Linked DNA regions of Saccharomyces cerevisiae S288C. The gene in region 2 interacts genetically with the main gene of each other region. Each region holds a gene or a part of one and is shown on either strand. Other genes may lie near its edges.

Region 1 (4,109 bases), on a different chromosome or scaffold from region 2:
CGGAGACAAGTTCTGCGTCGGTGTTGCAGCATATCCAGAAGGTCATTGTGAAGGTGAAGCAGAAGGTCACGAGCAAGACCCATTGAAGGATTTGGTATATTTAAAAGAAAAAGTTGAAGCTGGGGCCGATTTTGTGATAACACAACTGTTTTACGACGTTGAAAAATTCTTAACTTTTGAAATGCTATTTCGGGAACGGATTTCGCAAGATTTGCCCCTTTTCCCTGGGTTGATGCCTATTAACTCCTATCTGCTTTTCCACAGAGCAGCAAAGTTATCACATGCATCTATTCCACCTGCAATACTGAGTAGGTTCCCCCCAGAAATCCAATCGGATGATAATGCCGTGAAGTCCATTGGTGTGGACATTCTTATCGAATTGATTCAGGAAATATATCAAAGAACATCTGGTAGAATTAAAGGGTTTCATTTCTATACATTAAATTTGGAAAAGGCTATTGCTCAAATTGTCTCGCAATCTCCCGTCTTATCCCATATCGTAAATGAATCTAGCGAAGAAGAGGGAGAAGATGAAACCAGTGGCGAAATAGGAAGCATAGAAAATGTGCCAATAGAAGATGCTGACGGGGATATTGTGTTGGATGATTCGAATGAAGAAACTGTAGCAAACCGGAAAAGGAGAAGGCATTCAAGTCTTGATTCGGCCAAGTTGATTTTCAATAGGGCTATCGTCACTGAAAAAGGCTTACGCTATAATAATGAGAATGGTTCCATGCCATCTAAAAAGGCTTTAATATCTATTTCTAAAGGTCACGGAACTTTGGGTCGTGATGCCACTTGGGATGAGTTCCCCAATGGTAGATTTGGTGACTCCAGGTCTCCCGCATATGGTGAAATAGACGGTTATGGGCCATCCATCAAGGTAAGCAAAAGCAAAGCGCTTGAACTATGGGGTATACCAAAGACAATTGGCGATTTAAAAGATATTTTTATAAAATATTTGGAAGGTTCAACGGATGCGATTCCCTGGTCTGACCTGGGTTTATCAGCTGAAACGGCGTTAATACAAGAAGAACTAATCCAACTAAACTATCGCGGATATTTGACTTTGGCATCGCAACCTGCCACAAATGCTACATTGAGTAGTGATAAAATATTCGGCTGGGGGCCCGCGAAAGGGAGGTTGTATCAGAAGGCATTCGTAGAAATGTTTATTCATAGACAGCAATGGGAAACAACTTTGAAACCCAAGCTAGACCATTACGGGCGTCGGAAATTCAGTTATTACGCGGGCGATTCATCTGGTTCATTTGAAACGAACCTAGACCCGCACAGCTCTAGCGTTGTAACATGGGGTGTTTTTCCCAACAGTCCGGTCAAACAGACTACAATCATTGAAGAAGAGTCATTCAAGGCATGGAGAGATGAAGCGTTTAGTATCTGGTCCGAGTGGGCCAAGTTATTTCCAAGGAACACCCCAGCCAATATTCTTCTAAGACTAGTGCATAAAGACTACTGTCTTGTCTCAATTGTTCATCACGACTTCAAAGAAACCGACGAGCTATGGGAAATGTTACTCGACCAAGCCTAATATTTCACTGAATATAAATACAAAAATGCGAAAATAATGTAATATTTAACGTATACATAACGGGCAGAACGCCCTTCTAAGAAGAAGAGGCATATGCTAATCATTGGCTTTCCTTTTCTTGGAGCCGCCATTTACAAGTTGTTTGTCACGTTGTAATTTAGATTCCAAATAATCACAAAATTTCTGATCTCTATTTTCATTCCAAACTCTATTAATGCCGCCGAGAAAAATGACTTGTGAGTCCTTCAATATGAAAACGCCCCTATTGAACACAGTTCCCGGCAGTATCACAATTTTAGAACCCAGCATGCAAGAGCTCCAAGATATTGGAGTCGAGTTGATAGCAAAAAAAACGTCGCCCGACTTACTTTGTAGTGTCAATTTAAACACTGCTTTATTCTTGGCGGCACTGCTATTATTGTTGCTATTATTTTCCTTGGCGCAGTTGTTATCCGCCACATTCCCGTCATCTTCCATGTCCACTTGAGTGATGACCTCGTACTTCTTAGCGCCATTTCCTTGCGCGCCTGATCGTAGTCTATCCACTTTCTGTTTTTTCGGATCCAGCTTGGTTTTTATATCATCGATCTGTGTTAGCTTGGATTTGGTGATATTCTCTACCATCAACACCTGGAACAACAGTTCTCTGTCTACAATAACAAGTTTTTTATCTAAGATAAGATTCGAAGCAGTACCAGCCAACCAAGGTTCATTTTGGTAAGCTCTGAAAACAATCTGTTCTCTCGACCCCAAGGTGGCGGAATACGCTGGTGGTGTAATGTCATCTGTGATATCCTGTGATAAGATAGATGAAAAAGACATTCCATCCACTCGGTAGTATGTATGCTCTGCAGTATTTTGGCCTTCTTCTCAGTACTCCCTTTCTGTAAAGATTGTATGATTGGTTTATCTTTTTCCTTTTTCCTTTTCTTTTTTTTTTTTTTTTTTTTTTTCTTTTTTCTTAATAATTAGTTTCTCTTCACGCTACATGCTTTCTTGGCCCGTCCTGAGTGCAGTATCATAATTAATTTAGTAAATAAAGAAATAAACGAAGATGGACCCTCAGAGCAAACAGCCAAGACCGCTTGCATTGCAAAGTAATCTATTATTGTGCGCTGGGCCGCGGATGCCGCGGATAATAAATAGCCGGACCTGTCAAGAGGACGATAGCGGATGCGCTGGGAAGAGCTGTACTCTATGTACACATATGTATTGGTTGGAGCATATGTGCCTACATAATATGTCTAGTTGGCTCAAGCCCGTCAACTAATTAGTCTGAATGTATGGAGGCTTCTGCTGGCTCTAGCGATGTCGTCGTATTTACGTCACTGTAGTTCTCGACTCCCCGGAAAAACCTGTTCGCGTGAGCGGAACAACTTTCCATTGAGGCTTAGTGGAGGTATTTCCGGAGAGGGCATTCATCCCGGATTTCCTATTAGAATGGTGCAGTACGCCGCCCTCGCGCTCTCTACATGCTGTTTTAGCGCGCGTGATATGGACATAGATGCACCACGCGGTGTTTCTTTTCTAGGCATCAAGTGGCTTGCAGCCAATCAAACACGAGGAATGTGGGATGGAAGTACAATCTCCTCACCGCACACCCACGTTTTCCGGGACATTTCTCGGACAGACTCTTTTTTTCTTTTTTTTTTTTTTTTTGCTTCCCACGAAATCGGAACTTATCTATCAGCCGAAGAAAGCGCGTTGGACAGATACTTGAGCAGATTTTGTGGGGAGAGAGAATCTTGGGACAAATGCAAAAAAGAAATGGTCGGAACAAAAGGGCAGTATACAGGGCCGGCAGTACCTTCTGTTCCTACCACAAACCTTAACGATATCGGTGACCCTACTAAAACTGTGCAATAGATATTCCGGACCCACATCATTGCGGTGTTTTCTGAGTCCGCACTCACGGGACGAAGACGAAGAAAGACAAGAGCCTACAAATGACTATAGCGTTTTCTTTTTCCTTTTTATGCTCTTGCTACCTTTTTCGCATGAGAGGACATTCTTAAGGCGTATATTCTTATATATTATACAAAATATATTTAGTAAATTGTTAAATTTACTTATTGACTTAAATCGCCCTAGCGGAAACAAAACTCTTTAAAAGAAAACATCAAATAAGAACACAGACAAGAAATTTTGTGTACAAATGCTGTCAGACTGCTTGCTGAACAATTTCAGAATAACGGCTCAAATAGGGTCGGGTGCGTATGGACTAGTGTTCCATGTGGTGGATATACTGACGAGCCGTGAATATGCAGTGAAAACGGTCTTCAAATCCTCCTCGATGGATGAGTTTTATAATAAGAACGGTTTGAACAACAACTCTCAAGTGGCGCGAACCACTCTTCTGCAAACGCAACTGTATCATTTTTTCAAAAGTTTCCAAAAAAAATTGTTCTTACCTTCCGTTGATCTAGACTCGATATTACAGTTGACTGAGAATGAACTAAATAGGCTACCACACTACAGGGAGATTGCCTTCCAACTAAGAGTGCAGTCTCACGGCAATATCGTGAAGATTCACCAAGTTTTAGAATCTTCTATTGCC
Region 2 (6,994 bases):
CCTTCTGATCTGTCGACACGTAGGTGTCGACGAAGTTACCAAGAATCACGGGCAAAATACCTGATATTCCTGCTCCAAGTTCCAAGATACCTCTCTTGCCGCGATCAGCGCCCGTGAGGTCGACCAGCCTGGGCAACTCAAGCTTGTGCCCCTCGCAAGAAGACCCGCAGGTTACTTCCACCTGACTCCCAAGACGGAAAGGTGCAGCGCTAGTACTATACAGCAGCCAGTTGATGAAGAAAGGTGTGGTAGACCACAAAACGTATCCTGTGGTGGAGTTTCCGTTGTCTCTGGACGAGCGCAAGCTTGATATGGACTGCCCCACGCTAACATGATAGCTATCCACAGCAACATTCTGATCTTCTTCAACACTACTAGCCTTATTTCTTCTTCTCACTCGCTTTTTTTTTCTGCCGCCTTCCAGCCCAGAGGGTTCAAACGTTATCTCTAGCACACCGCCCCTTCTATCCTGAATACCCAAATCCTGCGCCAGTTTCCCGGACTGGCCCTCCAATTGTGTGTACCGTTCGAACACGTGCTCGTATATTGTTTCCTCATCCAGTAGCCATAACTTGAATGCCATTCTGCCTAGCCCATTTGCGTCTTCGCTGCCGTAACCATTCTCTCTTCTTGACAGCACTGCCTTGGTCAGTTCTCTATATTTGTCGCGCCGCCGCAAAATGCACCCACATTAAAGAAGACGACGCCAATCGACACCCTAATTTGGAGGTGTAGATGCACAATGGCACATGCAGTTGGGTGCATTGTGCCAGCAATCTCGTCTCGATTTCTCTACATGTAACTTGTATATATATTTGAGAGAAGACATAATCGTTGGTGGGACTTGGAGGCTCTTGGTAGGTCGTATTTGTGCATCTTGAGAGAAAGCGAAACAGTGCTGCAAACTCAATACGTAAAAAATAACGCAATATGTGGGCTCAATTATCATATACTAGACCAGAATCTCAGAAGACTGACTTAACGTCGTTGTTTTCCACAGATCAAGAGCAAAATCCATTAAATGACTACCAGTACCAGATCAATATTAGGGAACTGGAGGAGTATTACAACAAGACGATTTTAAACGAGGATAACATACAGGAAACAAGCAGTGAAATATCTTCGGCAGTTTCATTCTCTCCACCAAAAAATACAAACGCTATTCAACCGGGGCTACTGTATGATCCACAGTTAATGAACCCTTTTCTCCCATCCGCTCACCTGAATAGCACGGCACCTACTACTTTTAAAAAGAAACTAGAGGTACAAATAAATCCGGACTATGTCCCAAAATCTTCACAATTACCATTAACTTCACAGAATTTGCAACAGTTGTCTCAACAAAAGCCCAAAAATGATGCTTCTTTTTCATCAGAGAAGGAATCCTCAGCTCAACCTAAGGTGAAAAGCCAAGTGCAGGAAACTCCCAAACAATTATACAAGACAGAGCTGTGCGAATCATTCACTTTAAAAGGAAGTTGCCCTTATGGCAGTAAGTGTCAGTTTGCTCACGGACTCGGCGAATTAAAGGTTAAGAAATCGTGCAAGAATTTCAGGACGAAGCCCTGTGTGAATTGGGAGAAACTAGGTTATTGTCCTTATGGCAGAAGATGCTGCTTCAAACATGGCGACGACAACGACATTGCTGTTTACGTGAAAGCTGGTACTTACTGTAACGTCTCTTCGACTAGCAAACAATCAGACGAAAAGAGAAGCAATGGTCGCGGCTCCGCCAAGAAGAAGAATCTAAATGTTAAAGTAAAGGCTTTGCAGAGAATGACCTGGTGAAACAATTCCTGGCCTGGCGAAGACCGGCGTCTCAACTAAACTCAATTATTTATTATTTTTTTCTCCATGTTATGCTTTTTTTTTTTCTGCTTTTTTTTTTTTATTCTCATTTTCATGTTTGCGATATTGGTAACTCTAAAAAAAAAAAACTTTTATTTAAGTTAAGCTACTTCATGACGGTATATATGCATATTTGTGTACGTGTATTCTTCATCTATACGTAACGTTTGTTTTGTTTTGTTTTTGTTTTGTCAAATTCTCAATCATTCGGCACTACTTTTTATCGTTTCTCAGACATATTCCTTGAACATCGGCCCATTCTCTGATGGTCATTTCGTCGATTTGCGAAACAAATGGCTCGGCGCTGAACAGCTTTTCAATTAGCTCATTTAGCGGAATGGGTTCAAAGGTATATATTCGCTCCAAAAAATCAGGGAAGGCTTCAATTAGTTCGGTTAAATGATCAAATATTTCTATCTTACTGAAATTTGCCACCCCACCATGCTCACCTTTATTATCTGGATTAGCTGTGGACAGAATTTGAGATGCAGTTTGTAAGGATTGAATGATTTCAACCTTCGTCCTCATAGGTTTCAACCCCACTGTTTTCAAGCTTTGTCGAAGCTCTTTCATTGATTGGGACATCATGATCTCACAAAATTTCTCGGGAGAAGCTATGGAACTAGCTGCAGAGGTATCAATAATGTCGTTGCTAGTAGTAGGATTTTGTGTAGAATCTTTAGTCGAAATTTTGGAGGAATCTACCAATTGGATATCAGCAATGCAGAATTGGTCATCAAATTCTGTCTCCTCTTCTTCAGAATCATTTGCCTCAACTCTATAAAAGTTATGTTTCACCAGTTTGGGGTTTAGCTTAACTACGCTTTCTTGCAATAATTTAACTCTGATGGAACTTCCTATGTTATTCTTTTCTTCTTCAGTTTTTAAAGTTGTAGTAAGGTTCTTTTGAGGAATAATTGTAGGGGTTCTTGTAGCTGGTACCTGAACCTGATTTGATGCTTGTGATGTTACCCCTGTTTTGTTGTTTTCTACTTTCAAAGGTGATATTAACGATCGAACAGCTTTGAATGATTCCTGTGTTAAATCGATTATCCCATCCAAAGGCGATGTGTTTGGAGTGAAAAACTGTGTGCTGCCTATCGTGTCGGTGGCTAATGGTGGTCTTTCATCATTTTCAATGAAAACATACCGATACTGGTCTAGTGGAAACAATGTGGATGTCTCATCTGTAGTATCTGAGACAATAGAAATATTGTCATAATCATTATCCGTACTGTTTTCGCATCTTCTACTTACCTCAACAGACATAGGTTTGCAAGCTTTATAATCTGTCAGTGAAAATGCATTTATACGTGTTCCCACAGCCAGTTCAATATCTTCACCAACAACATTTCCTACCGGTTGTTGTGGCTCTAACCCGTTTCCATATTCTTGAGAGCTTGTAGAATCTCCCCGTGAAATAATTATGCTTTCTTCGTCTTTCATAATTTCACTTTTGTCATCCATTACTTGAGACAACGATAAGAAATTTACTGCACTTTGGGTATCGCGTATCCTTTCTTCCTGCTCTGGTTGAATAGCCTCATCGGGAAGCTCGGGTGGTAATTGTGATGCTGTCCAAAGTCTTTGTTGTGAGGATTCTTGATTGTCTAGAGAATTCGAGCTTTTTTCGCTTCCATATAAAAATTTCTGGACTTCATTCAAATCCGTTTCCTCACTTTGCGGAAACTTTTGTAGAAGAAGTTTCATAATATCTTTCCACTCCTGTTCACTATATGTATCAAAAGTAGCTTTTTCACCCTTGTTATTCCTTGCTCTGGGAGGTTTATCACTGTTTCCTTCATTTTGCGTCTTTATTATGTCCAAAACCTTCTTGTGCTTACCTGATAATTGCTTTAATAAGCTGGCAGTCCTTGAACGTTCGTAGTTATTAATATTGAAATCAGTTATATTTTTGATAATTTTAGGGTCTCGTTTAGTTTTAGGTTTTGTTTTGAGTTTCGAATTAGCCTTCCTTATTGCTGGTCTTCTTTTAGCTGTTACATTTGCATTGCTGTGGGTATCATCTGCGTTACTACTCTTGAACGAATACTTGAATTTTTCAAGTTTTAACTTAAGATTTGTTTCTTCCTCTGCGTCATCAAGTCGGCTTTGAATTTGAGTGTTAATGAATATGTTCTCCTCGATATTTGATCCGCCTAAATCGGGATGGGAAGTGCTGACTGGGTTACAACTTTTATCAACATCTTTATTTCTTTCTGTATCGTTTTTCGTAGTCTCTTGCGTCATAGGCGATTTTTGTGCAGTTACGCTTTTTACTTGCGTACCTATTGAATCATCATCAGATGATAAGGAAAACTGCATTTCCGGTACTTGAGTTTCCATTCCTAAAGAGTAAGCATTCTGGCTCTCTCCATTCAGGTTAGTTTGATCGGTAACGTTCACATAATCCTCGTTTTGTAAAAACTTCAAATTCCGTTGTGCCCTCTGAAGTTCCATTATTAAGTTCCCCAACTGAACTACTGGTTATTATTATGGAACAGAGATAGATAATATCTCTCTTGCTTGTTCGGAGTTCCATTCATCTCTATATTTTTAGTATGCAGCTTTCGCGTTATAAATTAAACAAAAAACCACTAAGTGACAAAGAACTACGCATATTAATAGTATACAACAAAAACAAAGGAAAAAAAGAAATGAAATCAATTGGCGAAGCAGAACAAGTTTTCTTTTCCCTACAATGATTGTAAATTCATATATGGTGCTCTACTGGTGATTTTTCATCGAACAAAAACCCGTTTTTAGGAAGGACAGAGGTCCATATCAATATAATTAAGAAGGCATGTTGGCCTCTGTTTCTTAATATATTCTAAATAAGATGTAAGGCCTTGTAATTCAGTTTGTTCACAAAATTAAAAACTGTTTAATGTTTTTTGTTTTGTTGTAGTATTCGAGCATTAAGGATAAAAAAAGCTTGTGAATAAAAATCTTTCGCTAAAAATCAATATAAGAAAATGGTAAGCAGCTGAAAGATAATAAGGTATGGTTAAAGATCACACCACCCTCTTCAATTAGCTAAGATCATAGCTAAAGGTACAAAACCGAATACGAAAGTAAATAAATTAATCAGCATAAAATTAAATAATAAACCACCTAAAATATTAGAAGCTAATCTTTAACCTGGAAGACAGGACAGAAAAGTAATTACAAGAACATATGTGAAAAAAAATAGTTGATATTTTAAACCAAATCAGAAATTTATTATACTAAAACTATATCTATGCCAATTATTTACCTAAACATCTATAACCTTCAAAAGTAAAAAAATACACAAACGTTGAATCATGAGTTTTATGTTAATTAGCTTATTGTTTAGCGTTAGTAGCGGCAGTCAATTGAGCTTGTTTAACCAAGTTTTGTGGAGCATCAAAGACTGGCAACATAACTTCAATCATTCTAATCTTAGAGTTGTCTTGGAAGTCCTTGTCTTGAGTCAACTTTTCCCATTCACCAGTGGTAGCAACTCTGTGGGTTTCGTAGTTTCTAGCACCAAAAGTTGGCAATAAGGCCAAGTGGTCCCAACCTTGAATTTCATTATATTCGGCATGAGGACCGTGAATCAATTTTTCAATGGTGTAACCGTTGTTATTCAAGACAAAAATGTATGGCTTCAAACCCCATCTAATCATGGTAGAGATTTCTTGAACAGTCAATTGTAGAGAACCGTCACCAATGAATAAAATAACTCTCTTCTTTGGATCAAGTTCTTCAGCGGCCATAGTAGCACCCAATAGAGCGCCGACTGTGAAACCAATGGAACCCCACAAGACTTGGACGATAGCGTATACATCTGTTGGGAAAGTAGTTTGGTTAATACCGAAGGCGGAAGTACCGGTTTCAGCAATAACAATATCACCTTCTCTCAAGAAGTTACCCAAATGGTTCCACATCCATTCTTGCTTCATTGGAGTGTTAGCTGGAGTAGACTTGGTAATTGGAACTCTAGCTGGGACAGCAACAGGTTTGTAGTCCTTGACGACTTCTGGAATAGCATCCAACAATTTTTGCAAGGCAAATTTCATTTGAACACCTGGGAAGGTGGCGTTTCTGATCTTGATGTGGTCAGAGTGGAATTCAACGATATTTTTGGTCTTGTAGGAGTAAGAGAAAGAACCGGTATTGAAATCAGACAACAAAGCACCGATAGACAATATCAAATCAGCAGATTCTACAGCCTTCTTAACTTCTGGTCTAGACAAGGTACCAACGTAAACACCACCGTATCTTGGGTGTTGTTCGTCAATAGCACCCTTACCCATTGGGGTGACGTAAACTGGGAATTGAGTCAAGTCCATCAACTTCTTAGTTTCAGCCTTGACATCATGTCTAGAAGCACAAGCATCAGCCAAGATAACTGGGTTCTTAGCATCCTTGATCAATTCAACAACAGTTCTAACAACTTCAGCTTCAGCTTCAGCGTCGTTTGGCTTCAAAGACAAGTCAATTGGAGTTTCCAATAACTTGGCTGGGACGTTCAAGTCAACCAAGTTAGCTGGCAAACCCAAGTAGACTGGTCTTTGGGTAGTGTAGGTGGTTCTGATACATCTGTCAATTTCAGCTGGAGCGTTAGCAATATCAGTGATCATGGCAGTGGTTTCAGAAATGTTGGCAGACATTCTGTGGAAAACAGTGAAGTCACCGTTACCCAAGGTATGATGCAACAACAATTGCTTAGCTTGAGAAGAGATGGATGGAACACCAACAACGTGCAAAACACCGACATGTTCAGCGTAAGAACCGGCAATACCATTCAAAGCAGACAATTCACCAACACCGAAGGTGGTAATAATACAGGACATACCCTTGATACGAGCGTAACCATCAGCAGCATAGGCAGCGTTCAATTCGTTAGCGTTACCAGCCCATCTCATACCTTTGACTTCATAAAGCTTATCCAAAAGAGACAAGTTAAAGTCACCTGGCAAACCGAAGACGGTGTTACAGTTGACTTGGCTCAATCTTTCAAATAAATATTTACCTAAGGTTATTTCAGACATTTTGTTCTTCTTGTTATTGTATTGTGTTGTTCTCTTTGAGATTGATTATGTGAAATAAGTGTAATAAGAAAGAGAGGAAAGGACTTACTACAGTATATTGATCGAGAATGGCAGCTCTTATATACAAG
Region 3 (5,087 bases), on a different chromosome or scaffold from region 2:
GCTGGAAACCATCTTAGAAGAGTTTCGCAACCTGGCTGCTCTAAACGTGTGGTACGGTCTCTCTGATGGCGAAGATGGCCATATTCCATGGCATATCCTAGCCGTGAAAAAAATGATGAACACTCTTGTGCACACCAGAGTAAAAATTGCTAATACTTCCGCCGCTACTGTGCATACCGCTACTTCTTCATCAATTATTCTCTCGGATAAATAAACTTTTTCCGGCAACGTTTTCCTGCTCATCTGTAGCCCTATTTACCAGTTTTGGTTTTAGTATTATTCCGGGGTGTAAACCCAGAAGTCTATTTCTCCAGTCGGATTTATAAAAACAAAACCGGAAGCGGGGCGGTACGGCATTTTCACTGGTGATGCACGCCCAGCGTGTAGTCCGAGACAATTTCCACAGAACGCGAATGAGATTGCGTTTAAGGCTGTATTTTCAAGGCACACGAAGCGGCCACGTGGGTCTGCGATGGTGTGTTGATGATGTCAAGAATGGTATCATACTCCGTATAAGGTTATGTAATCGGAAGTCGCGATTCTTTTTCAATTTTTTCTTTTTATTTTTTTCCAGTTTTTTCGTCTCTGCGATGGAAAATTGTTGAAGTTCTCTTGATTAGCAAGTAGTTCTTACATCGCAGGAATCTTATGTTGCATAGCTCAATTTACAAAAATAACAAGGATAAATATATATATATACGCATATACTTTTTGGGTGTTAAAGTAAATTTTGCACCCGTTCATACCAATCGTTCAGATAATTTTCGCTCCTTAAAAAAAGAGAGTGCGTGTGTATATGCCTGTTCATTGCCTGTCCGCCTCTCATTATGTCTATTTCTGAATCTTACGCAAAGGAAATAAAAACTGCATTTAGGCAGTTCACTGACTTTCCCATAGAGGGTGAGCAATTTGAGGATTTTTTACCTATTATTGGCAACCCCACGCTATTCCAAAAGTTGGTACACACGTTCAAGACGCATTTAGAAGAAAAGTTCGGCAAAGAAAAGATCGACTTTATTGCAGGTATAGAAGCTAGAGGCCTTCTATTTGGGCCATCCCTAGCACTGGCATTGGGAGTTGGATTTGTTCCAATAAGGAGAGTTGGAAAATTGCCGGGTGAGTGTGCTTCTATAACATTCACAAAATTAGACCATGAAGAAATTTTTGAAATGCAGGTTGAAGCCATTCCCTTTGATTCCAACGTGGTTGTCGTGGATGATGTTCTCGCCACCGGTGGAACGGCATATGCTGCGGGCGACCTTATCAGACAAGTGGGTGCTCATATTCTGGAATATGACTTTGTGCTAGTGTTAGATAGTCTACATGGTGAGGAGAAATTATCTGCTCCTATTTTTTCCATATTGCACTCCTGATTTAAATTTGTTCTCTGCCTCCTCCTTCAATTATTTTCCTTTCCTTCGCATATTGCTACTTTTTAGCTTGAACTTCTTTTGTTAATATAAACTGGTACTTTACTTTTTAGGTACCTGGTCCACGGCGCCTTATCCTTCTTTTAATTCATATTATTACCTACTCTTATTCTCTCCCTTTCTATTTTTTTATTTTTTGATTTTTATAAGTTACACTTGTGTACATGTTATTTCTACTTAGTTATTCATACTCATCGTTAAAAGCCGTTCAAAGTGCCTCATCTGGTATACTTCACCGGCGTACCTCTGTTCCTCCTACCTCTTGCAGCAGGGCTGAATAAACTTTCGTCCACATCCTCCATCACTGTTGATATATAATACTCTCCGCCACTATGCGTCCATGAAACACTATCCTCCTTAAGATCATACCTTTGCACCTTTAATCTATTGAAGATGTTCTCAACATTGTAGAAGTTGATCTGATAAGTGAGGCTTCTTAAACTTTTCAAACTTATGATCTTACATCCAACTTTTGCCGTTTGTAGTATCTTTTCGACTTTTTTATTCAAATCTTCATCAAATAAAAAATTATTTACGAGGATAACATCGCACTGAGGAATTAGTTCAGCGACCCTGTTATTGTCCACAAAGCTTTTCTTCAATGAAAACTCCACGTTGTTCAAACGCATCCCATATAACTTACACCTCTTCTTTAGTTCCTCGTACTGCAGTATAGTTAAATCGCTAGCATCATCCATGATTTCACATCCGAAGCTTAATGCACATCCACATTCCAACGCAGCTTGTACTACGCAATTACCTACTCCCGAACCGAGATCCATGAAAGTGTCACCCTTCTTCAACTGGCATTGTTGATATACATCAGATAGGAAATTGGGCAAAAGTTCTCCATAAACATAATTGCTGAATGCTTTGTAATGTTTCAATTTATTCGCCTGCGGATGGATACTCCTGGTATAGACGATATGCAAGAAGTCATGAATGAATGAACGAGGAATTTTATCAATTGTTTCTAAATGGTCAATTATTCTTTGCCTAGGAATTTCACGAATCATTTTGTTGTATAAATTTATAGCATTCACGAAACCTTTCGTGTCAGAGTTATCAAATGATGCATTTAGGTCCGGTAGTATAGTTTCCTTCAATTGTTCAGCATAAGGTGAAGGTAAAAAGACCAGGCAGCTGTATTCAATTAATTTACCAATTTCACTCATTGGATTATAAATGGCTGTTGACCTTTTGAAGTCGACTTTGTACTCTTCCATATAATTTGAAAATAAAATACTCTGCAACTTTGCTGTCGTTACTGAGGAAGTGTCGTTATCTGATGTCAAGCTCGTTGGCTGTGGAGAATTTGTTCTTAAACTAATGGATTGTATAGGAGTTCCAGAATATATTTCATGTGATCTTAAGTACTCTATGTCAAATAATGGATATTGTAACCGTAGACACGGGCCATTCCAATCAACAAATGTTGATGAAGGACTATCGCGATCATTCTTCTTGTTTGCCCGACCTTTTTTCAATGGCTTTTTTTCTCGTGCAGTATCTATTTCTTGCTTTGAAATTGGGGTATGTTTATGGTTAGTCCTGCCATTTTTTCCTTTTACTTTTGCAGCTTTTGGCTTCTTTACATCCTTCTTCGTGGTGGTAGATGACTTCTTCCTTGTGTTTCTATTATTGGTTTTCTTGTGAATGGGAGGTATAACCTTCTCCACCAGCGGAACCAACCCATTATCCTTACCCTTGGTGTTTCTATCTCTTAAAAATCCTCGAGGTAAAGATGACCCATATATTGGATCGTATTTATTAGCTTCTTCTAATAAATTTTGTACTTGCTTAGAGAGAAGCGTACCTTTAGAATAGCTTGAAAGCGACTTGGTTTGCATATCGGTGCCTTTCTTCTCATCAATAGGTGATATTGAAGATTCCTGAGAGTCTAAGTTGGGGGACGACATAATGAATGAGTCTGAGTTATTATTTGATATACTTTCTTGACCGCCCATTACTGTACAACAAAATGTAACCAAAGCGCACAATTACTGGTGACCTCCTTGATGAGGACCTCAGTTATTTTTCAAGGCAATTAAGACGACGAGATGCCCTATATTCGAATTATGTTTATCTCATTGAAAGCACTTACCGGTCGATTTTTCAATGTCCCTTTTCATTGACGCGTGCGAAGGCGTCAGCAGGATTATGCATATATTGCTAAAAAAAATGGCACGTAAATCATTACTTAGTTTCTGGCTTGTTATACTATTGTGAAGTAAGTGTCTAAATTCAAGAACAGAAAAACAAAGAAAGTCACTCTACGGTCTTTAGCCGTAACATTTTTTCACTACAGAGAAAATTCATGCCAGAGCTCTTTCATCCATAAAAAGAGGCGACGACGCTTTCGACTCTGAAAATACAAGCTTTCATTGGAAACAATGTAGCGAAGCAGCTGACATTGGAATGCACTAACAGAAACTAGACAGACAGGTAAATGCCACACCATTAGGGAATATGTTTATTCCATCCTCTAGTTTTCTGGCAACAAATAAGATAAGGCGGTTTAATTACGTGAAAAAATCCTACCTACGGGTATTCACCGCTTCTTTCTCAAAGGATTTCTAGGAACTTGATTCGATCTCCAAGAGTACATCCTGGAATTTTATTAATAAAGCAGACTTCACTATCTATGACTACTTTTCAGATTCAAGTATGCCTATTCAAGTAGGAAAAATTCTCTTGCAGAAGAACGGCCAGTTATGGAAAGGGTAGAATTTATCGCTAATTTAGTAAGAATTGGAGAGAAGAAGTGACCGGGTGGCGATATTCTGTTTATTGTAGCACATTCACAAGGGGGGGGGGGAGTATCCCGTTCTTCAGTGTTCCTGTTGTCGTATTTAATATCGAATGGCATAATTCAATTGGATAAAGAAAGAAATGTTTTTAACTAAAAGATAGATTCATTAACAAAGCTTACAAGAAGCGCATGGCCTTCACTCGAATTGTTTAAAAACAAAGTGGTCAAATTATTCCAAAATCTTGAAAGACTCCCGTTCCTTGAGTTATTTGAGTTTCAAAGTTACATTTCTGAATTATCCCAACAGTTCTCAACAAGCTGGATGTTCTGGTTAATAGAGGTGTCAAAATTTCCAAGATTGGCTCATTGAACGATCAAGTGATGCTTTTTATTCTTCATCGTGGACTTTAGTGCAACATCCAAATATTATTTAGAGCGTTATATGTGCCTGGTGGATAACTTCAATATCCAATCTTTCTTCTTCATGTTATTAAATTATCAGTAAATTAATTAATTTAGAATACTCTGACTGTACCACGATGAAGGAACTGACTCAATTTTTTATGGGACCAATTTTAAGTGTTGGTTTCTATTTTTTACGAAGACAATAAAGTTTACAAAACGGGGATAACGTTTACGATAACGTTTACGATAACTTTTACGCTGGCAACATTGGGCACGCAAGGAAAACAACAAAATGTCAGAGCTACATAATTCAAAATGAATAAGGTTTGGTAGAAATTCATTTAATTTCCCTTGGTGCATAAAAGGCTCATCGAAGAGACTAGACTACACTTATTATGTGAATAGTTGAAACAGCCGTATCAAGAATACAACAATTGGGTACCTCAAACAGCCAAATGGAGAGACTTGAAAATATAAGCTGAGCGGCCTGAGGCAGTATT

What was found. Genes that interact genetically often act in the same process or in processes that back each other up.
Region 1: mutations in SLX4 (region 2) and RMI1 are lethal when combined (synthetic lethality), as found in Saccharomyces cerevisiae (5 studies listed by BioGRID, with this or other methods).
Region 3: of SLX4 (region 2) and DOT1, a mutation in one rescues a mutant of the other (synthetic rescue), as found in Saccharomyces cerevisiae (5 studies listed by BioGRID, with this or other methods).

What each region holds. Positions count from the first base shown.
Region 1 is NC_001148.4:501,782-505,890, reverse strand, and holds RMI1 (Rmi1p), read right to left. Parts: upstream 2,375-4,109; coding exon 1,649-2,374; downstream 1-1,648. Other genes in the region: methylenetetrahydrofolate reductase (NAD(P)H) MET12, read left to right, coding at 1-1,552; putative serine/threonine protein kinase SKS1, read left to right, coding at 3,708-4,109. UniProt on the Saccharomyces cerevisiae protein: Structure-specific DNA-binding protein with a preference for cruciform structures. Also binds single-stranded DNA (ssDNA). Functions together with SGS1 and TOP3 to maintain genome integrity. Essential for proper meiotic cell division.
Region 2 is NC_001144.5:410,595-417,588, reverse strand, and holds SLX4 (Slx4p), read right to left. Parts: upstream 4,309-6,994; coding exon 2,062-4,308; downstream 1-2,061. Other genes in the region: RKM5 (S-adenosylmethionine-dependent methyltransferase), read right to left, coding at 1-583; TIS11 (Tis11p), read left to right, coding at 931-1,788; PDC5 (indolepyruvate decarboxylase 5), read right to left, coding at 5,175-6,866. UniProt on the Saccharomyces cerevisiae protein: Regulatory subunit that interacts with and increases the activity of different structure-specific endonucleases. Has several distinct roles in protecting genome stability by resolving diverse forms of deleterious DNA structures.
Region 3 is NC_001136.10:1,340,803-1,345,889, reverse strand, and holds DOT1 (histone methyltransferase DOT1), read right to left. Parts: upstream 3,398-5,087; coding exon 1,649-3,397; downstream 1-1,648. Other genes in the region: SSN2 (Ssn2p), read left to right, coding at 1-214; adenine phosphoribosyltransferase APT2, read left to right, coding at 828-1,373. UniProt on the Saccharomyces cerevisiae protein: Histone methyltransferase that specifically trimethylates histone H3 to form H3K79me3.